7 linked regions of the Canis lupus familiaris genome follow. The protein of the gene in region 3 interacts with the protein of the main gene of each other region in a biochemical or structural test. Links are inferred from orthologs where the notes say so. Each region holds a gene or a part of one and is shown on either strand. Other genes may lie near its edges. The genes, in order: THRB, PPARG, NCOA6, ESR1, RXRA, HNF4A and TGS1.

Evidence for each region.
Region 1: the proteins of NCOA6 (region 3) and THRB form a complex in vitro, tested with the Homo sapiens proteins (2 studies listed by BioGRID). The link is inferred for Canis lupus familiaris from reciprocal best matches to the Homo sapiens genes NCOA6 and THRB.
Region 2: the proteins of NCOA6 (region 3) and PPARG interact in a test that uses a peptide from one of them, tested with the Homo sapiens proteins (2 studies listed by BioGRID). The link is inferred for Canis lupus familiaris from reciprocal best matches to the Homo sapiens genes NCOA6 and PPARG.
Region 4: the proteins of NCOA6 (region 3) and ESR1 form a complex in vitro, tested with the Homo sapiens proteins (4 studies listed by BioGRID). The link is inferred for Canis lupus familiaris from reciprocal best matches to the Homo sapiens genes NCOA6 and ESR1.
Region 5: the proteins of NCOA6 (region 3) and RXRA form a complex in vitro, tested with the Homo sapiens proteins (5 studies listed by BioGRID). The link is inferred for Canis lupus familiaris from reciprocal best matches to the Homo sapiens genes NCOA6 and RXRA.
Region 6: the proteins of NCOA6 (region 3) and HNF4A form a complex in vitro, tested with the Homo sapiens proteins (2 studies listed by BioGRID). The link is inferred for Canis lupus familiaris from reciprocal best matches to the Homo sapiens genes NCOA6 and HNF4A.
Region 7: the proteins of NCOA6 (region 3) and TGS1 form a complex in vitro, tested with the Homo sapiens proteins (2 studies listed by BioGRID). The link is inferred for Canis lupus familiaris from reciprocal best matches to the Homo sapiens genes NCOA6 and TGS1.

Annotation. Positions count from the first base shown.
Region 1 is NC_049244.1:19,936,910-19,941,089, reverse strand, and holds the start of THRB (thyroid hormone receptor beta), read right to left. Parts: upstream 2,801-4,180; 5' UTR 2,786-2,800; coding exon 2,458-2,785; intron 1-2,457.
Region 2 is NC_049241.1:6,222,751-6,226,250, forward strand, and holds part of PPARG (peroxisome proliferator-activated receptor gamma), read right to left. Parts: intron 3,303-3,500; coding exon 2,852-3,302; intron 1-2,851. UniProt on the Homo sapiens protein: Nuclear receptor that binds peroxisome proliferators such as hypolipidemic drugs and fatty acids.
Region 3 is NC_049245.1:24,403,259-24,407,350, reverse strand, and holds the start of NCOA6 (nuclear receptor coactivator 6), read left to right. Parts: upstream 1-1,292; 5' UTR 1,293-1,436; intron 1,437-4,092. UniProt on the Homo sapiens protein: Nuclear receptor coactivator that directly binds nuclear receptors and stimulates the transcriptional activities in a hormone-dependent fashion. Coactivates expression in an agonist- and AF2-dependent manner.
Region 4 is NC_049222.1:42,770,821-42,774,320, reverse strand, and holds part of ESR1 (estrogen receptor), read right to left. Parts: intron 3,186-3,500; coding exon 2,951-3,185; 3' UTR 1-2,950.
Region 5 is NC_049230.1:50,625,113-50,628,612, forward strand, and holds part of RXRA (retinoic acid receptor RXR-alpha), read left to right. Parts: intron 1-1,631; coding exon 1,632-1,764; intron 1,765-3,237; coding exon 3,238-3,329; intron 3,330-3,500. UniProt on the Homo sapiens protein: Receptor for retinoic acid that acts as a transcription factor.
Region 6 is NC_049245.1:32,510,052-32,513,551, reverse strand, and holds part of HNF4A (hepatocyte nuclear factor 4-alpha), read right to left. Parts: intron 2,297-3,500; coding exon 2,122-2,296; intron 830-2,121; coding exon 735-829; intron 1-734. UniProt on the Homo sapiens protein: Transcriptional regulator which controls the expression of hepatic genes during the transition of endodermal cells to hepatic progenitor cells, facilitating the recruitment of RNA pol II to the promoters of target genes. Activates the transcription of CYP2C38.
Region 7 is NC_049250.1:7,736,830-7,740,903, reverse strand, and holds the start of TGS1 (trimethylguanosine synthase), read right to left. Parts: upstream 2,801-4,074; 5' UTR 2,398-2,800; coding exon 2,294-2,397; intron 1-2,293. UniProt on the Homo sapiens protein: Catalyzes the 2 serial methylation steps for the conversion of the 7-monomethylguanosine (m(7)G) caps of snRNAs and snoRNAs to a 2,2,7-trimethylguanosine (m(2,2,7)G) cap structure.

The sequences.
Region 1 (4,180 bases), on a different chromosome or scaffold from region 3:
ATGCCCTCAATGCTTCAGGAACTCGCTTGGCTACAGACGTAAAAACACACAAGAAACAACACAAAGAGAACTAAAATCATTCTAATGTCTACCATTAAGATAACTAGTCTTGACATTGGATTCTGTAGTCTTCCTTTATTTCATCTATGTGTACTGACAGTACATTTTTTTTTACAAGCATTATGATCATTTTCTAAATACTAGAAAATTCCAATTAAGGGCTAAAGAATAAGCCATCTTTAAAAAAAACAATGACAAAGTTAAGACAGCTGTACTATGGAAGAGTTTATAGCGTCGTAGTGACAGCGACAAATCCAGATGAAACAATTACGAATTTCATGAAAACAGATAAAAATCCAATCGGAATAATGAGGTCTGCCCCACTGAACACCTGTTTAGAGTCTTAATTTTGCCTTAAGGAGATACTACTGATGTCCTCCAACAACAACAAAAATCAATAATGGATCAATATGGATAAACGTGTTGGGTACAACCTTTTGTCCAAAGAGACAGTTAACAGCTGGGTTTAGTTTTACTGGGATTTACTTAGAGACTTGTAACAGTAAATAATGGCGCATTTAAGAATATTTGCCTGCTTTGATTTAGTGAGTTTGGCAGGTGGCAGTGGCCTTTCAATGGCATATGGCTTTGGGAAATTACATCAATATATGCATACAATGTGTCTTAGCCTCTAGTTCAAGCGGCAAATTAATTAGCAAAGAATCTGGTTTAACGTTTTATGAGCAAATATTCTCCAGCCTGCTTGAAGAAGATATCGTGTAAAGACAAAAGAACAAAAGAGTAAAAGAGCCTGAAAAGTTTTGCAGGAATTTTTAAGAATAGCAGAATGCCTCAATAGAGAGGCAGGCACCAATATTGTCTTGAGGTCCCACAACACTGTGAAATGCACATCCAGGAATGTCTAATGAGGCAATGTTAACTTCTTCTTTTCAAAGATAAATTACTTATAAGTATAATATTAAATGAAACAGAAAGCACACATTCAGCCTATCTCAAATATTCCCATTAGAGGACTTCTGTAGTGTCCCCATGTGATAAATGAGAAATTCTGATACCCTTCAAGAGGATGTGAAACTAGAGGAAAATGCAGACAAATTACTCTAAATATGTTTTCTGCTATAATTCCCTTTATATTTCATATTTGGAAGTTGGAGAACAGGACAGAAAATTCAAACATAGTATATGGTAAAAACTAAACAGGAATTTGAGGGTTTTTTTTTTTTTTTAGGCTTTGTTTTCAAAACAGGCTACTTTTAATTACAGAGTCACATTAAGAAAAACAAATAATTTTTATAGGAACCACAATCAACCAAGCCACATTGTTTTAAGATAATTTCATGGAGAAATTGACCTTTGAGGATCAAAGGGCATCATATTTTTGCAAATTACAGAAACCTGTAAATTTGGTTTCCTATGCAATATCCTGTAGATAGTACACAGAAAAAAAAGAGTTTATGGCATATTTAAGAATAGAATAGAATTTAAGCTATTTCCAAAGTATCTGGCAGATGCTACTGAGTTTCCTGTGTACTACCTGCTTATTTACTTTATTTTATTTTTTGGTATACAAGAAATTTTCCATTGATAGAAAATTACACAGCACTGTAAAGCTACAGTGTCTATTAAGATAAATGGATTTGCACTTGTTTTCACTTAGCATATTTTGAAGGGTATTTTACTTACTTTCATATAGAGAATTCATTTAACATGATTCCAGACACATAATACTTTAGGGACAAAATGGAATTAGAAAGCATATTAGTTCCTTTTTGAGTTTTACATTCTTATAGCTTAATATGGTCATGAGTAGATTCTTCACAGCTTACATGGATCAGTAAACATATCAAGATGAACAATTATAAAACCTAATATATCAACAGTATACGATCATTAAAAATCACTAAAATATTTTATTAATGAACTTTTAATATGAAATATCAAGAAAAAGTCAAATGAGTTTTTAATTTGAACCTGAACTGGGGAGAATTATCCCACTTCAAAAGCCACAGTGCCTATCCACCAAGGGGAAGCCTTTTACATATTTTCTTTAGCACAGAAACTGACCTTATTCACTTTAGGCAATACACACAATCTATCATCTATCTATCTATCTATCATCTATCTATCTATCTATCTATCTATCTATCTATCTATCTATCTATCTAAATATGTATACACACACACACACACACACACACACAGCTTAAAAAGTCAGCTCAATCCAGCTCTCATATATGCTTAAAAAAAAGTGCTTGGAAATCTTTATTGCTCACGGACCCCTTTCAATCACCTAGCAACCTCTCTCTTTACTGCTGTTTTTAATTTCAAACAGCGCTTAAAGTCAAAGATTTGACAAAGCTGATGCAAACTGTAACTTTAAAACACAACAGAAACAAACACGGAAACTTTTAACAAATTTAGTAAAATGGTCCCTACCTTTTTTGTGAGAGTACGATGGCGACTGCACTTGAGAAAAAGTAGGCTTTTCTTCAGTGAAATACTCAGGTTGGCTGTATTGATTCAGGGCCATGTCCAAGTCAGAGTCCTTGCTTTTCAGCATGTTTCCAGGGTAACTACAGGTATAAGGCTGATTCACTGCCCAGGCCTGTTCCATATATATGTTGTTACTGGGCACAGCCTGAGCGTTGCAACCACTGTAACCCGGACTATCTTCGAAATACGTGTAATAATCAGTGGCCTGCATGTAGCAATTGCTGCCGGCAGCTGGGTGCACTTCATATACTTCTTGCATACAGTAGTTCATTCTGTTACCCTGGCTCAGTGTCTACTTTACATATACACACACTCTACACATGCATTCACCAGCCCCATACACCCTGAGAGCTGGGCATATACGCCGAGAAGTGTCCATCCATACGCATGAAATGAAAAGGAAAGATGAATAAACACCACCACCACACAGCAACCCCAGCCTGCTTTACTTTGGAATAGCACCCGATGTACTAAAATCCTATTTAGATTGAGCTGTCTTTTGGGCTCTCCTGCCATTCAAACATATTGGAAAGCAGATTTCTATCAAAGGGTCTTAAGCTGAGAACGCAGCTAATTCCTGGGGTAGATGGCATGCAGGTAGGGATGACCATCACCCCGCTGGAAGAGTAACAGCAAGAATGCTCCTGTTCCTCTGAATCTGGGAAGATTCATTTTATATGCCATTTTTTAACCCCTTTTAACGTGATTAGAAAATGATTACTCATTGCGATGTCATGTGGCTTGACAACTTAAGCATGAAACATTGTAAAGACATCTTAGACAATATCCTTGGATACGCAGAAAATCCTAAAATCAATAATCCGGTTTATTAGCATGACCCAGAGAAAATCCCAGTAGTAACGAGCCTGATGACTGACTCCAAAACATTAATCTAGTCATGCAAATGTTGGTGGTTAAATCTGTTGAATGTTACTGATTCCAACCATCCTCCTAATGACACACAGGTTCCACAGGTTTTAGCAACATGCCAAGGAAAGGAAAGCCACTTCTGAAAACACCACTGGTGTCTGTGAGTTCTGTTTTGTTCCTTGCAGCTGATAATTTTCTACATCATTAGCACTAATCTACATGAGACCTAAAGCTTAATTTAGCTTTGCTCATTCGGTTTTTATGTTTTCTTTATAAGCACACGAGGGAGAGTATATGTGCTGGTACGCTTTCATGAAGAATTCCCTCTCTTACGGCAGTTCCCCCTCCGTTTGTGCTTAACGGCACTCTTAGAGGTAGTTTGTGGGAAACAGTGTACATTCACCATTTTCTTCTAATCAAATCTGCTTTTGGGTTCATTTTTAAGTTTAAATGTGATTTAAGTAGTATTCATGTGCTTGAGGTTTAAAGACAGTGACCTTCTAAAGAGGGAAAAGCATTTTCCATATGAATCACCATATCTTTTAACTAAGATGTGAACAAATATCAAATTAGACCCTAACTGCTTGCTAAGATGATTACTAAGGGGTGGATAAGCACGTGTATGTCCACTATATGCACGTGTTCTAGATCATGATTCAGTAAGGGCCAAAGCTGCTTTCTTTGAAGCTAGGGGTTCTTTCTCTTTCTTCCAGAGACTTAGTTGGTAGGACTGGGACTCAGGGGGTGACATTTACATTTGGGTTCCTGCTGGCCCATGAGTGTGTGACCTTGTTGG
Region 2 (3,500 bases), on a different chromosome or scaffold from region 3:
AGATGAAAACACCCTGTTGTCTCACAGGCCCATAAAACAACATTGCTTGCTGGGGCGCCTGGGTAGCTCAATTGGTTAAGTGGCCAACTCTTGATTTCAGCTCAGGTCATGATCTCAAGGTCCTAGGATAGAGTCCCAAATAGGGCTCTGTGCTCAGTGGGGAGTCTGCTTCAGGATTCTCTCTCTCCCCCTCTCCCTCTGCCCCTCCCCCTGCTTGCACACACATACTCTCTAAAATAAATAAATCCTAAAAAGCAAAACAAAACAAAACAAAACAAACCCAAAATTTGTTCAAAAAAGTCCAGAATTATCATGACTGTTTCTTGTGTAAACCTGCCCTGGCTAGCAACTAATCATCTTCGAATAGCTTATTTCAAATGTTTCCTTTAGTATATCTGTGGTGGGAATATAAACTCATAAATGTTGTGGTGAACAATGTGGCAATGATGTAACAAAATATTTATAATCATCTACCCAGCAATTCCACTTCTGGTACTTTAGAATGAGAAAATAATTTGGAATTTCAACAGAAATTTACACTTAATAATGTTCACTAAAACAAAAATTTAGAACACATTTTTGATATTTTCTATGTTCTTGTTGATAGGTTTTTAAATTAGCAATCCTAAGTAAAGAGATTGGGCAGCCCTGGTGGTGCAGCGGTTTAGCGCTGCCTGCAGCCTGGGGTGTGATCCTGGGGACCTGGGATCGAGTCTCACGTCGGGCTCCCTGAGTGGAGCCTGCTTCTCCCTCTGCCCGTGTCTCTGCCTCTCTCTCTCTCTCTCTCTCTCATGAATAAATAAATAAAATCTTAAAAAAAATAAGTAAAGAGATTATTTGGTATATAATGGTCCTTTTTAAAATGGAATATTTTATAGTCATTAAAATGGTAGTGTGTATACATATATATGCTAGCACATGGACAGAAACTTTTCAGGAGGAGGAATAGGACTTTGTTAATCTTATTTTATTCTGAGGACAGAGGCCTTTAATTTTCACTCACACTTTTCTGTACCCTTTGAATTATGAAATGACCACGTATTACTTTTATTTTCAAAAATTAATGAAAAATATTAACAAAGAGTACATAATGACGTGGGGAAAATGACTGAATATAAACATGGAATATATGGTATGCTCAGGAAAAAACTTAGAAACATATCAACTGTTAATATTTCTATTTTGCATTAAAAATAAAATGTGCCTAAAAAAAATAAAATGTGCCTCAAATTATTAGCTAAGCAATAACAACCTGTTTTCTCATCTAGTGCTTCAAAATTTAAGTTTCTTCTCCTAATGCACCTCAAATAAACTAGAATCTTATTCTTCTTTGCTGAATTGATCATGGATCCCAGAGGATCGAGGGGTGATCTGTTTAAGTAGATTCAGTTAAGGTATTACAACATGTTGGACAGTAGTTTTTGTTACATTAAATATAACCCCCCAAACACCATTTTTAAAGGAGTTACAACTTGACACTGCAGTGGAGGCTCCAGAGTTAACCTGGGCTGCACTGTCATCTATTTGCACCCAAGTTACCTAAAGGGCAGTATTACTGTAGACTCTGGAGCCAGACTACCGGAGTTCAGAATCCTGGTTCTATCCTGTGTTAGCTGCGTAGCCCTGGGCAAGTGACTGAACCTTTCAGGGCTCTGGCTTCCTCCTTTGCAAAACGTACTTTTCTTGCTGGGCTGGAGAATTAAGTGAACGTGTATCATGTGCTTAGGATACTGCTTAGAAGACAGTAGGTATTTAAGTGTTTTCTATCATTATTATTAGTAGTAATCAGGCACCCGATTTCAGAAGTATTCTGCTCTCAAGTAATTGGACAACAAAGGAGGACAGAGTACACCATGTTCTTTATAATATCTTATATAGTTTACAGTTTACATCTATAGGACCACCATCCCTCCCCACGTCAGCTTTTGCCAAGAGTATCCTCTGTCTGTAGAGTACACACAAAAAGCTCACCTGAAGTCCATTTCAGTAATGAAAACTCATTGCTTAAAGACAATTTTATACAGAGACATGACAGTAAAACTTTCTACATAAGCTGGAAATGTGTGGAGTAGCCAATGAAAGTAGCATTTAGTATAAAACCTGGCTTTGGAGTTGTCAGTTAGATCATGTACTTGCAAGGCCAAAAATACAATGAATTGCTAAATAACTCAATTTATTTCTCTGCTCTGTGCTCTCTGGTTCAGATTATATTTTTAATCACAGCCAACCACCTCACAAAGTTACTTTAAGGGAAGCCATCAGATAAATCTACCTGAGGGAATAGGTGGAAGTCAGTAGATAAATATTACTCGATTCCTGATATTAGGAAAGCAATTCAAAGTAATATCTTCCTGATGGTAGAGCAGGAACAAAATCTGCCCCAAACCACTTAGTTGTGCTCTCTCTATGCCAAGTGAGCACTGTGACTTAAGCAAAGTTGTACATGTCATTACTTAAATGAAATGAAGAATAGATTGGCTGGAAGGGAAGGAAGGGATGGGAAGGAAAGGGAAGGAGAAGGGAGAGTGAACAGAGAGAAGGGGAGGGGTGGGAAAAGACAGGGGAAAAGAAAATAAAAAGGAAAAAAAAAAAGGAGAAAAAAGAAGAAGAGGGCATTTGTTTTTCATGTTTGGATTTGACTGGAAAGGCTGGGGTTGCCCACAGCCTTCCAACAGCAAATCTATGATCTTCTCTCCTGGTACTTTACCTGTGTAGTGATGCTCTCATGGCATCATGCCACTGGCATATTTTTGCATGAAAGTGCAGTACAGAGAAAAGGATGTCAAAATTCTTCCAATTATCATACTGCTGTCCCACCCTCTTCCACGAAAGATCAAAAGATGCATCTTACCTCCACTGAGAATAATGACGGCTATAAATATTGCCAAGTCGCTGTCATCTAATTCCAGTGCATTGAACTTCACAGCAAACTCAAACTTTGGCTCCATGAAGTCACCAAAGGGCTTTCTCAGGCTCTTTAGAAACTCCCTTGTCATGAATCCTTGGCCTTCTGATATGAGAACCCCGTCTTTATTCATCAAGGACGCCAGCATCGTGTAAATGATCTCATGGACACCATATTTTAGCAGAGTTACTTGGTCATTCAAGTCAAGGTTTACAAAACCAGGGATACTTTTGGCGTACTCTGTGATCTCCTGCACGGCTTCCACTGAGCGGAACTGACACCCCTGAAAGATGCGAATGGCCACCTCTTTGCTCTGCTCCTGCAAGGGGGTGATGTGTTTGAACTTGATTTTATCTTCTCCCATCATTAAGGAATTCATGTCATAGATAACAAATGGCTGCAAAAAAAAAAAAAAAAAGGGAAGTGGCTGAGTTGGAGATCTCTAATTCAGGGTGAATCCCATTCCAGTTTCTTTATACACATTTGCTTCGCTAACTAAAATCTTTAAGGTTGAAGATACTTAATGAGAAAGTACTCTCATCTCCTGATTATTGCTCCTAATTGTCTTCTGGAACCAAACATATTTTACCAAGCT
Region 3 (4,092 bases):
GTGTGAAGATCACTGTAATCACAGCCGAGAGAGAAAAGAAGAGCTCCCTAAGATAAGTCTGGAGATGTGGCAAGGGCAACAGTAAGACATCTATTTGGCCTTTATCTTAAGAGCAATATGGACCACCAAATAGTTTTAAATAGAAGGGAGACATGATAAAATTTCTGACTTAGAAACATTAGTCTGACAGCAGGGTGGAGAAAAGATTAAAGGGGAGCCAGGGAAGATGTGAAAAGGCCTTGGATCACTATTGCACCAGTTCAAGCCCACAGTGTGTGCTCAATGGAATGAAAGGACTCCAGTCTCCTTTTCTGAGATGAGATCAGTATGCCTGACCAGTTGTTTACAACCCACCGGCTCATCTTCTCTCTCCTGTGATGCTCATGACAGACTCTTAGCTCCCATTTCACAGATGAATAAGCCGAGATTCAGAGGCAAAGAAAGTCACATAGCTATCAAGAGTGAAAGCCAGGGATCCCTGGGTGGTGCAGCGGTTTGGCGCCTGCCTTTGGCCCAGGGCGCGATCCTGGAGTCCCGGAATCGAATCCCACGTAGGGCTCCCGGTGCATGGACCCTGCTTCTCCCTCCGCCTGTGTCTCCGCCTCTCTCTCTCTCTCTCTCTCTGTGACAATCATAAATAAATAAATTAATTAATTAATTTAAAAAAAAAGAGTGAAAGCCAGTTCTGAATCCAGGCCTGTACGACAGACATCAATTCCAGTACTGGACATTTGGGGAGAGGGAAGGAGCCACATTCTCTTGCACCTACTGAGCTTACTAGCATGATGGTGATGGGAAAAAGCAGAGAGGGACTTATAGGCAAATAATAAAGGCTAAAGGTTATCTTTATCACCGTTAACGTTATTGGACACTATGCGTCAGGCATTGTGCCAAGTGCTTTCCTTGTCTTCATTTCCTCTTTGCAAGCACTATTATTATCCCCTTATTTCAGATATGTAAACTGAGGCTTGGAGCGCTGACTTGCCCAAGCACACTCAGCCAGAGGGCTCCTATAAGGCTGTGCACTACTCTGAAACGGAGCCAAGAGCCACTGATGATATTAAGGCTCCAGGAGACAGAAACTCTCCCGACCCGGGCACTAAGCTCTGCACGCAAGTGAGCGGGCGCGCGCTCCGCCTCGCGCTCTCGGGGACGTTTGGCCACGTGACCAGGGCCCGCCCCCGCCCGCCCCGCCCCCTCCCGCGCTCCCACCCTCTCTCCCTCCCTCCCCCTCCCTCCCCAGCCCGGTCCGGCCCATCCCCCTCCCCGCCGGCTCCCTGAGGCCCTGCCGGGTCGGGCTGCGGGCGGCCGGGCGCCGACGGCCGGACAGACGGACGCACGCGAGGACGGACTGACGGACACACGGAGGGCGGCGGGCGCGCACGGCCCGGGCCGGTGCTCCGAGGCCCGCCCGGGAGGGCTGGGGCCGCGCTCAGGTGAGGTGACGGCGACGCGGGCCCGTAAGGGGTGGGCCCGCCGGGCGTCTGGGGTCCCGGTCCCGCTGGCTCCGCGGGAAGGAGGCGCCGCCCGGGCCCGGCGCGGGAAAATGGCGCCGGCCGGCAGTGGAACACGGCTCCTGTGCGGGCCCGGCCCGGAGCCGCCCCGCCCGCCGCGCTCGTGTCCCCGTCGCCATGTTGGGGAGCGGGCCCCGGGCCTGCGGGCGGGGGTGCTGCGGGGAGCGGGGGCCGGCCGGGGTTGGGGAGGGTGCGCGACGCGGGGTCTAGGGCGCTGAGGAAGTGCAGGGCCGGCTGGGGTCTGCACGGGGTGGCGCTCCAGGCCAGAGGAACTGGCGGGAGCCGAACGTGGGGTCGTGGCTGGGGGTCGAGAAGGGACACTGAGTCCAAACGGAACTGGGGCCAGGGTCCTTGAGGCTGGAGGCCAGGACCGGAGTTTAGTCAGGCTATTCACGTTCGGGACCTCGGGGCCGGCAGGACCCAAAGGGGCGTGGGGTCCACGCTCAGGCTGTCAGAGCCGGGACAGTTCTTTGTGGAGGCGCGGAGGGTGGAGGGGGGAGGCTGTGATTAGAAATATTAGAAATGGGGGCCCTTTGGATACAGGCGCGAGTATGAGATTGGAGCGGTTCTCTGAGTCGCGGGGCCGAATTGCAAGTCGTCCAACTCCCAAGAGACTGAGGACATATGTTCCCCTAGCATGTTCCACTCCCAATTAGGAAGAGCAGTGGAAAATAGGAAGACTGATGAGAAGAGAGAAAAGGGAGGCTGCGGTTCGGGTGCAGGAGCTGGCCAGCATAGGGTGGAACTGGTTGGCAAGAAGAAAGAACCTCCGTCAACTTAGGGAGTTTGTGTGTGTCTTTAAAAGGAGGGACCGGGCTGTTTGTGGGCGGTGACCCAAGGTGTCTTCCCAGGAAGGGGACAGCCCACTGTTTTAAGAGCAGGGTCACCTGGGGAGGTCATCACAAAGGCTTTTTTTGAAGCCAGTGAGAATGGTGTAGAAAAATGAATGTGTGAATGAAAACTACAAGGGTCTTAGAGATCACAGAACAACTTCAGAACGTGTAAGGATTTTAGCTGAGCCAGATAAAGTTGACTCCTCAAGATCTCACAAGTTCCTGGCTCTGGAGGTCCACCGCCTTAGTGGAATTTGTTAGCTCTGAGAAAATTGTTAAGGAGAGCTATAGCAGCAAATATCAAAGAACGGTTACTCTGTTTTTGTTTTGGTAATTAGTTTGTCAGTAGAAAGACTGAAGAGGAATACAAAAAAAGTACTGGTAACCAGCTATTTGATCATTTCCAGCCTACCTGCATTTGTGCAAAGAAGTTATCTTCAGAACCCTTTTGACTTCTAACTTTTTAGAGTTTTAAGAGATGCTCCTTCTGTTCTAGGGGTTTACAGCAAAGGGACACCAAAAAGTGAAAAAGATAACAGTGAACAATGGTACACACCCAGGATTTCTATCTTGATCAAACTTTAATTGAAGTTTGATCAAGATAGAGAAGAGTTCAGAGTTCATATGGGTTATGGAAGAATTCTGAGGGAAACTATGAAATATTATGAAATAGTAGTTACAGGCTCCCATAAAATCAAAAAGGACTTTCAACAAAAAGGTTATGAAAATGTACATAGCAAGTAAGATTTTCAATATATGTCCAGTGCGTTTATACTATATATGTGTGTGTGTGTGTATATATATATATATATATACACACACACACCCCCACACACACAGCATCAAGATTCATTTGTTCTGGATCTTTTTTTTTTTTTTTAAATTTATTTATTTTGAGAGAGAGCGTGCGGGTGCTCATGAGAGTGGGGTGAGGGGCAGAAGGAGAAGCAGACTCCCCGCTGAGCAGGGAGCCCAATGTAGGGCTCCATGCTGGAATTGCGAGATCATGACCTGTGCTGCAGACAGAGGGTTAATCAACTGAGCCACCCAAGCATCCCTATTCTGGATATTTCTAATGCAAGAAGGCCTGACTTTGTGCAGTAGATCCCTCTGCCATCTAGTAAAACTGCTCAGAATGATAATAACCCCTCTCAGAATAATATTTTTAATTGAGTAAAACAAAATACACTGTATTATAGAGAAAACCATTATATTGAAATACCAAAATACACAAATTATAAAATAGTGATATAGATATACTTTATCAATACATTAAGAAATCAGATCTAGTGATGGGTGTGATAATTACAATTTTAACACATGGTGAACATAAATAATATTTTGAGATATCAGCAACAATTGTAATATAATGTAAAGATATCTGTGGTAACTGTGACACAGTTACTGTCATAGATACTGCTAATATTAGAGTGGTTTGTTGCCTACAATTTATATTTGAAGAAAATGGTAACTTTCAGTTAGAGGTTAGTGAAAATAAATAGGTGGGGTTTTTTTCCTATCCAAGTTCACAGACCCCTCTGAATTCTGTCTGTGGATTCCCATCTGTGAACCCCAGGTTAAGAAACCCTACTCCTACCACCAGGCATATCTTCTATTCAGCAGACATTTACTGTGCACTAAGATATTCTAAGCATTATGCCAGGCTCTAAGGATTCAAAGGTCTTTAAGGAAGGGTCTTTTCACTTTAGATATTCAATCTTATGAGAGAAATGAACATATAAACA
Region 4 (3,500 bases), on a different chromosome or scaffold from region 3:
ATGGCCAAAAGAAACCCAGACCACTAGCTACTCCGTAGATTGTGCGGACGCTTGTTCTTCCATAGAATTCCAGCTGCCATTTTAGAAATGCTTGTCATTTGTAGTTCACAGGGCACAAGTGGAATATGGAACTCTGGTTCATACTCCAGGTGCCAGAACTGATCTGCCTCAAAATATTTCAAGGCTCTTATTACTGTATTTCCCAGTCTTGAAATTCCTGAACCTACTTCCCCACCCTACCCTAACCCCCCAGGTTGATTACGTCTTTCAAAACTTAAATTGCCTCAGAGTGGGGGAGGGGGGCGGAATTCAACATGTTCCCTACCCCCAACAGCAGTATCAGCTGCTAAGTGTCAGCTGTCCATTAGTGGCACTTCAAATAAGAATAAAAAGAGATATCTAAAATTATTTGAATTTTGCTGTGCTAACATTCCAACTATCTGGTGTTCTCTGCCCATTTCAAATGTAGTAGTATCTTTAACATGAATACAAACACATTAGATGAATAATGCAAAACCCTCCACTTCATTATTGTTTGGATTTAGCTGGTATTACATCATCTATAGTACTAGAATTTTTTTGTCTGTTTTTATTTTTTTAAAAGAAAATCTAAGTATAAACATTAAAAAGAACCCACTGACCCATTAGGTACTGTCCAAAAATATTACTACTGATATTTTGGTAAAGCAAAATTAGCTGCCCTGAATAATTTTCCTTTGCAGGCATAATCTCTGCTACATAAGATTGTCTATCGTTCGATATCCAACAATAGGCATCTAGATTAGTGCTATTTTGTCTACTGTGGATATAAAAGTTGATATGAAATGTGATCTTCATTAAAATGAATAATCACCAGGCCCTAGGCATCAATGACTGCATACATGACAAGGTAGCTATACAAAAAAACTAAATATCTTTTGTTGATTTTGCACATTTAACCCAGTCAAATTAAATCCAGAATGGAATTACTACATTCAATTGTCTGATAAACAAGCATTGTAATTTCAAAAAAAATATATATTATACTATATAAGGTGCTTCTTAAACAAAACAACAACAAAAGAATTATGTTCTAAACATATTCTTACTGCAGATACACAATATTGCCCCTAAATTCAGATGCGCATATATAAAAAAAAAAACAAAACTTTTTTTTGGCCCTCCCAGGCTCCCAGTCCTTTGGTGATCACTTACTAAGTAATCAAAAATGAAAGAAATCCATTTTTTGAAACAGGCATCCCAAGAGAAGCCCTAGAAGCTTGGCTGGGTTGTTCGCTAACCCATCACTTCTCAATGGGGTTTGAGTTATAGACAATGAGGTCACCAGAGGAAACCAAACTCACTGAGAAGAAAGATAAACCATAGATGATCTGGAGAAGGAAAGGCCTAGGGAAGGCTGCCCTGTGGCTGGAGTGAGTCTTTCTTGTTTAGCCTATAGGTCAAAGGATTCCTATAGCCCAATTCTAATCTCGCTCTCTTGGCTTATGAAGTTTAATGAAATGAGCTTTGGGTAAAGTTTTTTCTCCAAGACCAAACCGTGGTTTTTGGATGAGCTCTAAACAACCAAGAGCAGGTAAAGTTTGACCAGATCCCAGGCAGCCTGAGTAGTGAGCCTCCTATCCTCACCCTCCAGCCTCACCTAACCACGTGCAGGGCCAGCTGTAGGAATGCAGCTGTCTTGTCTATTGCTGTTCCTTCCAATCATGGGGGCAAGAAGAGGAGGGCTGCCCATGGATCCCAGGGCTGCCCCACAGTGCACACAGGGCCTGCCAGGGCCACTCCTGTGTAAAGCTACAGCATGTGGCAGAGCCACCGTGAGCCTCTCAGTTTTAGTTTCCACCCTACTTTCCTCCTGTTCTCTAATATGTACAATAATTGTGCACGTTTACTATTTACCCAAGTGCCCTAGGGCTAACGATGTCACCAGGTACCCACTCATTTAAACTGCCCTTGGTCATATGCTGGGCACTATTACTAATTGACCTTCTGTGTCAGTTACACACCAGGAAGAACCAAGCAGAGCGCCCTCTGCTGGTAATTGTGAGACCACGCTAGAACAGGTTCTGAAGCTGATTTACAAGTCCTGCGGGGAAAGGGCTTTCTTTCATAAAATGAAAACAAAAAAACAAAGGCCAAGAATTTATCCCTTAAAAGGAAACTGGTATATGTGGAGGTGACTTAACTGGGATCAACTTGCTGTTTTCCATAGATCCATGGGAAGCAAGAATTAACTGGAACCCATGACCTGTACATAGTGTTCTCAAAAACCAGTGGAAGAGCTTTCAGCAAATCTGAAGGTGCAGTGTATTAAGTTGACAGAGTTTTGACAATTAGGGGACCTTCCTTCTCTGTGGGCATCTTGTATTCCTATAGGGCAAATGAAGAGACAATCACTGCATATTCAGCTCCAGCCATGCAACAGAGCAAAAGCTTTAAGGTATTACTTTAATAAAATGTTACATTACTACAGGAATACAAGATGATGCCATAATGAACCCTTGACCTAGCTTTCTCCAAGTCAGCAAATTAAAGGGGCCACTTTCAAGTCTTTCCTGTGGCTTTTTCTTAGATTTGTTAAAAAGTGCTTCACAGAGATGAAATGTCCACTCTCCAGGTCTGGGTCTCAACAAGTAGCTTAAATGCACAGTCACCTGAGTCCCAGCTCATAGACTGAGTTCCATCATGAAAAGCTATAGAATCCTCATGCTTAGTATTATAGCAAAGGGAGAGAGAGAGTGAAAGAATTTAGCCCTGGAATCCCTTTGGCTGTTCCCAAAAGAAGGCGTGCCACTAAGAACTGAGCAAGCAAACAAATGGCCACTCATATTAGAAAGCCATGGTGGTGGATGCATGCTGGAGTGTGCGCAGGAGCAGAACTCTGCTATTGTGATACATGACGTGGGTAAAATGGTACAGGGATTCTCAGGACCTTGGGGTAGCCTGGGAGCTCTCAGACTGTGGTAGGGAAATTCCCTGCCTCCTCGGTGATATAATACGTTTGCAAGGAATGTGATGAAGTTGGGCCCGTGGTGGCCAGCTGGCTCTGGTTTGTCTCCTCCATGGGCACACCCCCACGGCTGGCTGGGGCGTGCAGGCGGTGGGCATCCAGCATCTCCAGCAGCAGGTCGTAGAGAGGCACCACATTCTTGCACTTCATGTTGTACAGATGCTCCATGCCTTTGTTACTGTGGGTGGGAAGACACACAGAGGGACCACTTTAGAGTAGCGCAAGCCCTAGAGCTGCTGCAACCCCTCAGCAGGGACCAAAGTAAGGGAAACTCCAAAGACACCTGTAGGCCAACCTATCTCCCTGTTTAAAGAGCCATTTCAGGATTTGCTATACAAGTGATTTCCTTCCACTGATTCCAATAAGGTTCTATTCCCCACTGTTAGCATTGTATCTAAAAAGAGAACAGAGGCCATATGGCCATGTAGGAGGGAGGTCTTTTTTTTTTTTTTTTTTTTAAGTATAAAAGTGGTTCAAGAACTTCCCTTCCTTC
Region 5 (3,500 bases), on a different chromosome or scaffold from region 3:
ACAGGCGTACCAAGTGGAGACCCGTTTTTGCTGAGACCAGGGTCCTCAGTGCACATCCTGGCAGTGGGGCAGGAGGGACAGGTGAGCCAGGTGTGCTGGTGCTGGGCCTCCAGTGGGGGCCGGCAGGGAGCACCCCCCACCGAGCCAGCCTCCTGCCCCACTGGGCCACCTGCACGAGCTGGGTGCTGCCAAGTGCACCACCGGCGGAAGGCTGCACGACACCAGCTGTATGCCAGGCCAGTGCTGGGCGCTGCGGGAGCATCCCAGGGCAGCCCATGTGTGCTTGGGGCAGTGGGAGAGGTAGCAGCCGGCCCAGAGGTAGGAGGAGGCTGGGCATGCCCTGTGGGGGATGGATGGCAGGGAGACAGAGTGACTCCAGAGTGATCCGCAGTGGGGGGAAAATGCACTTGGGGCCAGCTCTGCCCCCGGCAGAACTCTTGTCCCCGGGCTGTCGGCCTTGGGGCCTGGAGAGCCTGTGGGCTTGGGTGCCTATGGGCTTGGGGGCCTGTGGGCCTGGGGCCTGGGGACCTGGGGGGCCTGGGGGCCTAGAGGCCTGGAGGCTTAGGGGCCTGGGGGGCCTGGGGGCGTAGGGGCCTGGGGGCCTGGGGGCTTGGAGGGCTTGGAGGCCTGGGGGCCTGGGGGGGCCTGTGGGCTTGGGGGCCTGGGGGCCTGTGGGCTTGGGTGCCTATGGGCTTGGGGGTCTGGGGGGCCTGTGGGCCTAGGGGGCCTATGGGCTTGGGGTCCTGGGGGCTTAGGGGGCACCTAGATGCCTGGGGGCCTGTGGGCTTGGGTGCCTGGGGGCCTAGGGGACCTGGGGCAGGGCGTGCCTTCTGGAAGAGCTTTCCCTCTAGCTGGGGCTAAATCCCCACACCCAGAGCCATCAGGGGAGGTGGTAGGGGCGGCAGAGGCCTGGGTCCTCGCCCTTACTCACCATATGACAGGGTAACCCCTACCCTGCCCTGGGCCTGTAGGATTGTAGTCAGGATGATGTGTGACAGGCTGTGTGGGGCCATGAGTCACGGAGCCCGGGGAGTGTGGCAGTGTCAGTGCTGCACCTGTGGAAGCGGCTTGGGGCTTCCCCGTCCACAGGACTCATTGAGATCCCAGCACAGAAATAATTTCTATTTCAAGTTTTGCTTCCATACTTTCTCGTAACCCTTGACACCCACCCCAGTTGTCTGCACCGGGATCTCATGAAAATACTGTCCGGTTCGCCTGAGGCTTTAACACACCTTATGTCAGTTTAAGAATTTATTCTTTTGCGGTGCCCCCCGTAGCACATGGGAGTCTGAGAGTTTGCTGCTGAGACCAGGTTGGCAGCAGCTGCCCCGTGGTGTTCCACAGAGAGGCCCTCTGTCCTCCATGGCAAGAGTGTCCGGCACTTGTGGGAGGAGACTTCCTGGGCACATGGGCTTGGGAGCACCTGGGTTGAACAGAGCCAGAGGGGATGCTCCGTGCAGGACTTCTTGGGAAACTTGTTGCCCTAGTTGGCATGTGGCTCAGAATCTCGGGGTCCGCGGCACCTGCAGTGGGGTGTTCTGTGCTGGTGCGGCCCATGGAGGGCGGAGTGGCCGACCCATCATGGGGAGGGACACAGCCACGTGACCGTGCACCCTCCCCTCCCCGCCCAGGCTGGAATGAGCTGCTCATCGCCTCCTTCTCCCACCGGTCCATCGCCGTGAAGGACGGGATCCTTCTGGCCACCGGACTGCACGTCCACCGGAACAGTGCCCACAGCGCGGGGGTGGGCGCCATCTTCGACAGGTGGGTGCCCCGGGCCAGGTTCGTGGAGGGTGTGGATGTGGACATGGAAATTGGCATACAAGGACACAAGTTCAAGCCTTTGCACGTCCATCCACCGGAGACTTGACGACCCCAGCGTAATGTGAGGGTTCATTTCCTCCCGGCTCCTTTCTTTAACATCCTGTATCCCGTACGTGGAAAGAGGCGCCGTGCTCCTTGGGCGGAGGTTATACAGCAGGTGCAGTCCAGCAGTGGCCCTGGGTCTTTGGAGCCGCAAGCCCTCGGCTGCATGTGTGCCACTGCTCCTCCTCCCCGACCGCAGGTGGGCGCGCGCCTCCCTGCACCCCTGCGTCCCCTGGCTCCCCAGCAGAGGGGCAGCACTGGGCAAGGGGGCGGCCGCATGTCTCCATTCTAGCTGCTCCCCAGCCACTCAGCCCGCTGGAGGAGGAAGGGCCGGGAGGGACACACTGTGGGCCATGGGGGCAGGAAGGTGGTGGCAGGGCTCCCAGGGAACCCCCGAGCGGAAGAGCCTGGGGTCAAGGGTGCACAGACCCTCCCGGGAATCACCCACAGGAAAGTGAATGCAGGAACTGTGCTGCCCTGCGGGCAGTTCTGGTAGAACGGAGAAGGAAGCCCTGGAGCCCACTGGGATGTGCCAAGTGCAAGTAGGGGTTGTGGCCACATACACTGGCAAGCACTGGTTTTGCAGGGGATAGGTGGTGTGTCTTTGTGCAGTACTTCTCAGGGCCTTGAGAGAGGAGCCACCAAAGGCTGCTGGGAGTATGGCACTTCAGTGCCCCCAGAGGCCCCTTGTAGAGAGTGCAGTGCTGGGATGGTACTTTGGTTTAGAAACGCAGCCCCGCCACACTCCCAGCTGCTAGGGCAGTAACAGGGACAGAGGCTTGGGCTTCTACCCAAGGAGCAGCGGCACAGGGAACCAGCTACTTGCCATTCAAGTGTGTGGAACTTGTGACCCCTGCCTCAGGGCATCCCCTGGCCACAGAGTGGTGGACATCCGAGCGCCCGTCCCCTCCCACCCTGTCTTCGGTCTCCAGGGGACCGTGTCCCTCTCCAGCCTGCAGACCCTCGGGGACTCTGGCTCCTTGGGGTGACCGTCCAGGCCCTCCCCAGGCCACTGTCCTCTGTTTCCCTATGGTCCAGCCTCACTGACCACTTAGCACTTCCTGGGCACAGCCATCGAGTTTGGGGAACCAGAGACTGGGCTGATGGGGTCGGGGAGCTCAGGCTGGGGATTTGGGACCCCATGGGGCGGGCCAGTCAGGCTTGGGTCAGAGTCCCGCCCTCTGACAGAGCGGGAGGGGAGCCCCAGTCCTGGGCTGGGCAGCATCCCGGGGGGTGGGGCCTGTCCTCCAGCTGCTCCCTGGTCCCCATCCAGCCTCCCTAGCCCGTCCTGGGGGTCTTTCTGGGGCGGGGGTGCCCTGGTGAGGGGCATGGTCTGACTCAGGCCGTGGTGTTTGCCTGCTTCCTCTGCAGGGTGCTGACAGAGCTCGTGTCCAAGATGCGGGACATGCAGATGGACAAGTCGGAGCTGGGCTGCCTGCGTGCCATTGTCCTCTTCAACCCGGGTACAGCTTTCCTGGCATGGCCTGCCGTCCGGCCTCGGGCCCGAGAAGCCCACTCGTGCTGCAGACTAGCCATGCCGCCTTCTTCTTGTGGCTCCCAGGAGTGGGACGCACGGCAGCCACTGCATGCAGCGGGGGGTGGAGGGCGGGGGGGTGGATCGAGAGCCGTGCTTG
Region 6 (3,500 bases), about 8.1 Mb from region 3:
GTGCAGACCTCAGGTCTTGACCAGCTGTGGGGCCTCAGGTAAGCTGCTGAACTACTCTGGACCTCAGTCCTCTCATCCAGGAAAAAAGGGAATGACAATAGTGGTGGCCACATAGGGTGCCACGTCACTGGTCACTCTTATCAAAGCCCAGCCCAGTGGCTGGCATCTGCTGGTAGAAGAAGGGAGGCCTGGGGAGACCTTCACAGCTATTGTGCTCTGGTCTTCCCCTCTGCCTCCACCCAGGGCAAGTCTGACACATTGTTCCCACGCCATAGAACGTGAAAACTTGGGGTCACCCGATACTCAAGAGTGAAGACTACAGAAGGGGGGGCACTTATCCCTGGGACTGGAAGCTCAGGAAGAGAGCTCCCCCCACCCACACCTCACTGTGCACATTGGCTGAGTCTAGGTGGTGGGCACAGGGGCATCGGCAATGTCATCTTCGGCTCTCTTCCTGTTTGAAACAGTATATTAGAGCAAACGCCCAACTGGGCTGCCCATGGTGGTGGTGGCGGCTGGGAACCTGAGTAGCCCAGAGTGAGAGCTTATCTCTTTCTCAAGACCAAGCCCAGCCCCTCCCTGTGGTCAGATTGCCAGGCCCTCCCTCCTCTCAGCCATTAGCCATTCACCCTGGGGCCTGTCACCGAGTCATAAAGTGTGTGGCCCCAGTTGTAAACGTCCTCAGACTATGGGTGGGGGTGGGGCAGTGAGGTGGAAGGGGGGCCGGGGCTCACCTTCCTTCTTCATGCCAGCCCGGAAGCACTTCTTTAGCCTGCAGTAACGACACTGGTTCCTCTTGTCTTTGTCCACGACGCATTGCCGACTAAACCTGGGGAGGGCATGGATGGTTGGATGGAGAAGGGACAGCCCGCCTGAACGGAATCCTGGCCATCCCAGCCTTGACTCCCAGCCTCCTTGCCTCCTTGCCTTAGGACTCATGCTAACCATGAGAAAGGCCCAATGGACTCCAAAATTCTAGCCCTGTCCTGCTGAGGCTCAGAGAGGTGACACGAAGTCTGGGATGGCAACCTGATGGCAAAACTGAGCTGGAACCTCTAGCCCCTTGAGAACCAGGGACAACTCTTTCTACAACATTCTAGGAAAGTGCAGAGCCCATAGCAGGCTCCTGGTTATGGCTCAGAGTCCATACTTGGTCCACAGAAGTGACTCTCTGGAGGGGACTGTAAGCAGTAGTAGTACCCCACAGTGGTTAAGGGTGGCACCCTGAGCGTCAACATGGGTCTGCCATTAACTCAAGTTGGATGACCTTGGACAGATTCCTGGCCCTTTCCAAGCCACAGCTTCCTCATCTACAGCAACCATGTCAGAGGCGTGTTGATGGGTAGAAATGAGATAATATGTGGATGGGACTTGGCACAGCATCATTCTGTAAATGACAACTACTCATAACTGAGTGCTATTATTTTATTATTGTTACTCAGAATGGGAGGTGTTGTCAAAGGAAGCCTTGGAAAGTCCTTGGGATAGGTAGAAAGGCCCAATGGACTCTAAGAATCAGAGATTGGCCCCAGGAAAAGCTCCAAGTTAGGGGGATGGGCCCCATCCTCTGAAGCTTCAGAGGAAGCTTGATCCCAAATGGATCCTCATTTGCTAAATAGGAAAAATAGGGATCCCTGGATGGCTCAGTGGTTTAGCGCCTGCCTTCGGCCTAGAGCATGATCCTGGAGTCCCAGGATCGAGTCCCACATCAGGCTCCCTACATGGAGCCTGCTTCTCCCTCTACCTGTGTCTCTGCCTCCCTCTCTCTCTCTCACTCTCTCTCTCTCTCTCATGAATAAATAAATAAAATCTTAAAAAAATAAATAGGAAAAATAATGATGGGCTTGTAGGGCCAGTTAAATACACACAAAGACTCAGTATATCTGGCATATAGTAAGTGCTCAATAAAGGGCAGTTGGTAGCTTTATGAGTGAGGCTCCTAGAGAGGATGTTCCCATCAGGATCCCTGAGGCACAAGAAAGCAGAGGAAGCTTAAAGGCCTCAGAAGGCAGATGCTTCTGGGACCCAGTCAGGGAGAAGATAGATTCTGGGGAATATCATTAGCCTCAGTGCACCCATTTCCCAGCTAGAGAAATCGGGCTCCAAGCAGGGGCTCCTCACCTGCAGGAGTACATGTGGTTCTTTCTCACGCTCCTCCGGAAGAAGCCCTTGCAACCGTCACAGCTCGAGGCACCGTAGTGTTTCCCTGTGGCCCGGTCCCCACAGATGGCACACAGAGCGCTGACCCCCAGGCTGTTGGGTGCGTTGAGGTTGGCACCTTCGGATGGGGATGTGTCTGCACCAGAGGAAACAAGAGTAACACCTCAGGACAGGCAGGAATTCACTTCCCAGAGGCTCTGCTCCCCTGATGGCTTAGATCCAGAAGCCAATATGAGCATTGTGGGGATCTCCACCACAGGGCTTCAGCCTCATCCAGACCCAGGTGCTGTTCCCACTCCCTCAATGACCTTGAGCAAGTCCCTTGGCATTTTGGAACTCCTATTTTGCATCTATTACTTAGTGATGGTTGTGACATGGCTTCAGAGTCCCTTGCGAGGGTGTGCTTCTCCATGGTAGAGGCTGCAAGGCCGTTTCCTCTGGGAAGTAATGAGAACCTGGCCACCCACTAGGATGCATCTGACTCTTAGGGACCCCAACTGACTGGGCAGAGGGTGCCGTGGAAGGGACAAATATTCCCCTATCATCTGCTCAGAACCTGCTCAGGTCCTGTCCCTCATTTCTCAATGTACCCAGAGGCCTTGAAAACTCTCCCAGGGAATGGGAAGACGCACATAATGGCCCATTTGTCCTCCTGGGAGGGTCATGGCAAGGTTCTGGGCATCTTTCAAATACCACCTGTCTCAGAGGCAAAAGCTTGCATCTGTATGAGAAGGGTGATAAGAGGCAGGTGGCAAAGATCGTGGATGAGGTGCTTAGGGTCCTGGGTGCTAGTCCAGATGCTGCCCCTAACTCACCTGTGACCTTGGGCAAGTTTCTTTTCCTTGCTTCAGGTCCCCTAGGCCTCAGTGTCCCTACCTGTAAAAGGCAACCAGTTCAACTGGTCTGGTTGTTTGCCTTTTGCCTTTTTTTTTTTTTTTTTTTTAACTTTCAGTAGCTGAACCATACTTTTGTAAGCAGATCTTCCATCAAGGATAGACCTCTTGGAGAAGATGATAAACACCATGGACCATCTCCTCAGAAAAATGCGTGCATATGCACACCATGCAGGCATATGCACACATGTTTTCATATATCTATGACTCCGACCTTGAATTCCTAGGGAACACCCCACTGAGAACTGGAGGGGGCATCATGCTGCAGTCAAGAGCACACACTCTGTAGTCCTTCTGCCAAGCTTAAGTCTGAGTTTGCCCACATCTTAGCCGTGTGACGTTAGCTGTAGGAGTTTACTTCTCCATGTCTTTGCTTCCTTGCATGTGAAATAGGGAGCATAATAATCCCCTAAGACTGTTATGAGGATTCACTGAATCAATGTATAT
Region 7 (4,074 bases), on a different chromosome or scaffold from region 3:
AATAAAAATTAGTTATGATATTAGGTTTTATTTCCTGCCTTTGAGGAGAGGTGTACAATAACCTTACTTAGTATGAGAATCAACTGAATACTGAGAAGGAATTAGGCACCTATGCTAATGCTCATTTTTTGTTTTCTGTTACATGGACTATTTTTTCCGTTTAATAATCTATTCTAGAATTTTGCTAACAACTGATCTGTTGTTTTAAGACTGTGAAAGAGACCTTTTCCCTACCAGGTAAGGTTATACAAATAAGCCTGTGAACTTCCAGCATGTCTCCAAGTCCCAAAGACTTCTCAGTGACTATTAGAAATAATTCCAAGATCACATTCTTTTCGTTCTAAAGGGTCATAATTTGGGCATTAAATGATCTAAAGTTAAAAGCCATTATTTTCTCTTTACCTATTTTGAATTCAGAATGTAGCTTCTAAAAGTAAGTAGGGCTTTTAAGTCTTAAGAATGCATAAGAAATTATCTGAAATTTAAAAGATGAACCTTTTAGTTCAAAAAGACTAAATTCAGGGGCACCTGGGTGGCTCAGTGGTTGAGCGTCTGCCTCCAGCTCAGGTCATGATCCCCGGGGTCCTGAGATCGAGTCCCACATTAGGCTCCCCACAGGGAGCCTGCTTCTCCCTCTGTGTGTCTCTTAGGAATAAATAAAATCTTAAAAAAAAAAAAAGGACTAAATTCAAAGTAATTGGTGATTTGCATGGCAATTAAAGTGTATTTTATTTTATTTTTATTTTTTTTTCTTAAATTTATTTATGATAGTCACAGAGAGAGAGGCAGAGACACAGGCAGAGGGAGAAGCAGGCTCCATTCACCGGGAGCCCGATGTGGGACTCCATCCCGGGTCTCCGGGATCACGCCCTGGGCCAAACGCAGGCGCCAAACCGCTGCGCCACCCAGGGATCCCTAAAGTGTATTTTAAATAAAGGTGCTTTAATTAAAACCTAGTATTATTGTTTTGCAGGAGTCCAGCAAGACAATTTTTCTCCACTTTTTACAGTTTCTAACTTAGGTTCCCTCTCCTTCTTTTTGGAAAGGAGGCTTCCTGAAGACCATCCCAAGACTCAACCCAGCTTCAGGCTAAGAAGTAAGTGTGTAGCCTTGGCTTTCTTTTTCTTTTCCTTGTACACAGAGTTCTGCCCGTCACTCCCTCCCACTCAAATATACCCCAGTTTATTCCCACTCTTTAGACATCTTTTCAAATGCTACTTCCTCAAAGAAATCTGTGATCTGTGGAGAAACGTTAGGTTTTTGCTATCATATATAGCTGCGCTTCTCTCTTACAGCTCTTACAACAGTGCTTAGCTAAATACTTATGTAACTCTTGTCTTAATATCGACCTCCTTTGCTAGAAAGTAAACTCAAAGCGTGTAGGGAGGGCTGTGTCCTGCACCCGGGTGCCTACCAGTGTGCCTCATACAAGGAAGCACAAGAGACATTTGTGGAGTGAATATATGCATGTATACATACAAAGACGACAATACTTTTTAAAGATAGCGTTTAATTTCCCTTTGGATCAATTTCCCGATTACTCCACAAAGCACGACCGACAGCAAGAACGTCTTCTCACTTAAATTCTTCCACGGTAACGTATATTAGAAGTCTAGCACGCAAAATTCGCTTCCACAAGTTGAATCCAACCACCAGCCTGTGTGATAACTGGGGTCGAAATACCTGTTCTAGGGATGAAATAAAGATCCAAGCGGCTAAACTTACACACCTAAGACAAAGAAAGCCTCCCTAGAGTCCAATCCTTGAGTCCGTTTTTTCCTGTTCACTGGCTCTCTTCCATGCAGGGCAATTTTTACCTCAAACACGTATTTTCCAAGAATATAGCTCCAAAACTGACGTGATTATAATTAAGTCTTTTATCTCGGGTAATTAGAAGTTCTTTTTAAGCGCATTTGCACTTTACTAAGACTTAAGGTCTTAAAAAATGTCAACCAACAAGTCACCTTAAAGCCTTCAACCTGTGACGTCACATCCACTAAGATTTCATCTTACATTTCATTCGCCTGATCTTAAAACGTCCCCCCCCCCGCCCCCGCAATAAAGCGGAATAAACCAGCTGCCACGTTTCCCCACAGCAGCCCACAGAGCAGATGTTCTCTTTCACTTAGGGGCAGTGGGCGACCTGTCCGTGAGGTCCGGGGGCTCTTCCTGAAACATCACCCTGTGCAAATCTTACACTCGGGGCGGGGATCCCAATTCCGAGTCGTTTGCAAGGCCCACGCTTCTGGGAAGCAACTGTGCCAGGGATGAAGGGGAATAGGCTCTGACTTACTCCACAAACGCCCTGGAGCAGAGGCAAAGGATCCCAGCATCCTCCTCCAGGTCCTCGACGAAGAGAAACATCTCGGCCACGCGGCTCCACTTCTCGCAGCACATTTTACCTCAGTGCAGGAAGCCCTGCGGGGGGCAGCCCGGCACCGGCCGTCCGGACCTCTGCTCGGCTCCTGGAGGCCCCAAGGGGGTCTGGCCGGCGCGCCCGAGGGGATGTCAGGGGTGACGAACCCGCCCGGGGCCGCTCGAGCCTGGAGGGCGCCGAGAAGCCGCCGCCGGAAGTGGCTCCGGGCGCCCACGGGAAGGGGCGGGGCGAAGGCGGTGTCACACTCTGCGCTGTCCGGGCTGCAGCCGTGGTTCGTCTTGTTCTTCACCGGCTGCTCGGCGGGGAAGCCGGCTGCTGAAATTTCTCCTCTTGCCTGGGTCGCTGAGCCACCGAAGAGCTCCCGCCGCTGCTCGAGGGTGAGAGCGAGCCGCGTCTGCCCTCCCCGCTCCCTCGCCCCCGAGGTGCGTCGGTCCTCATCTCGGCCTCCCCGCGCTCCTCCCCGCCGGGCGCACGTCGCTCGTCAGTGGCGCGGGGCTCGGAACGCCCAGGCCGCGCTCCGGGTTCCGGGGGGGGGTTCCGGGGGGGTTCCGGGGGGGGGGGGCGGGCAGCCCCCGGAGTCCCCCGCGGGACCCGGGGCGGGCCGGGCTTCCCGGTGCTCGGTGTAAGGCCGGGCGGTGGGGAGGCGGGGAGGGCTGGATATGCCTGGGTCACAACGAGCCGGTTCACCCCGCCGCGCATCCCCCGCCCCCCCGCGCCCCAGAGCCCTGCTTGGTCTCGGCTTGGGCGGCGGGGCAGGGTTGTCGCGACGTCGGCAGGGGTCTCGGGGCTGGCCCGGCCACCTTCTTCCCGGATCCGAGTCGAGCCTCGCGGTGATGACGGGCGTGTGCACTCGGGAGGCAGCGGAGATGGGTGGTTAAGGCGGCTTCCAGACGCGCCGGGCTTGAGTCCGGGTGTGATGCTCCTTCGCTACCTGTGGGATCCGGGCCAGCGACCGAGCCCTTCTGAGCCTCCGTGATAGTCTGGAGAACGCGAACGTCGACTGGCGCCTGCTTCCTGGGGCTGCTGGAAGGACCAGATGAAGCCGTGTCCCGCAGACCTCTCGTGCACCGTGACTGGTGTTAGGGGACAGCTGCTTTGTAAGCCCCAGGCGCTGCCCTTGGTCCCGGGGTCTTCAGCCTTAAAACAGGGCTCTGCCCGCAGCTGCTGGTGCAGGGTGGGGAGGATGCAAGGGCACGGAGCCAGCAAGTCGGGAGCTGGACCGCCCCTGCTGGGTGTGGGAAAGGCAGTTAGGACTTGGTGTGTGCTAGTCGTTGAGACGGTCCACGCAGCTCCCTCAAAGAGACAAGTTCAAACTTGAAGGTGGTTGGAGCATTTAGGACTTGGTTGTGCTATTAATGCCGGAATGGCATTGTTACTTCGTTAAAATGTATAGAAACTGAGTTAAAATCCGGATATTTAAGACAGTCCCAACTATTTTGGTCGCATTTACTATTGAATGGAAATGGAAGATGGATTTTCAAGTGAAATGTTTATTTCCACGTCCTTACTGCTGCTGCCTCACTTTAGTGTCTGAGATAGGCTCCTTTCAGTGACTCAGGGCTAGAGTGGTGCACAATTAACAACAAATACACCAGTGTAGATGTACAGCCTCTGGGGTTTGAGGGTAGGTTAAGAAAAAAAGGTAGACTAGTAATTGTCAGAGGGGAAGATTTTAGCTAGAAGTTGGAGGACGTTCT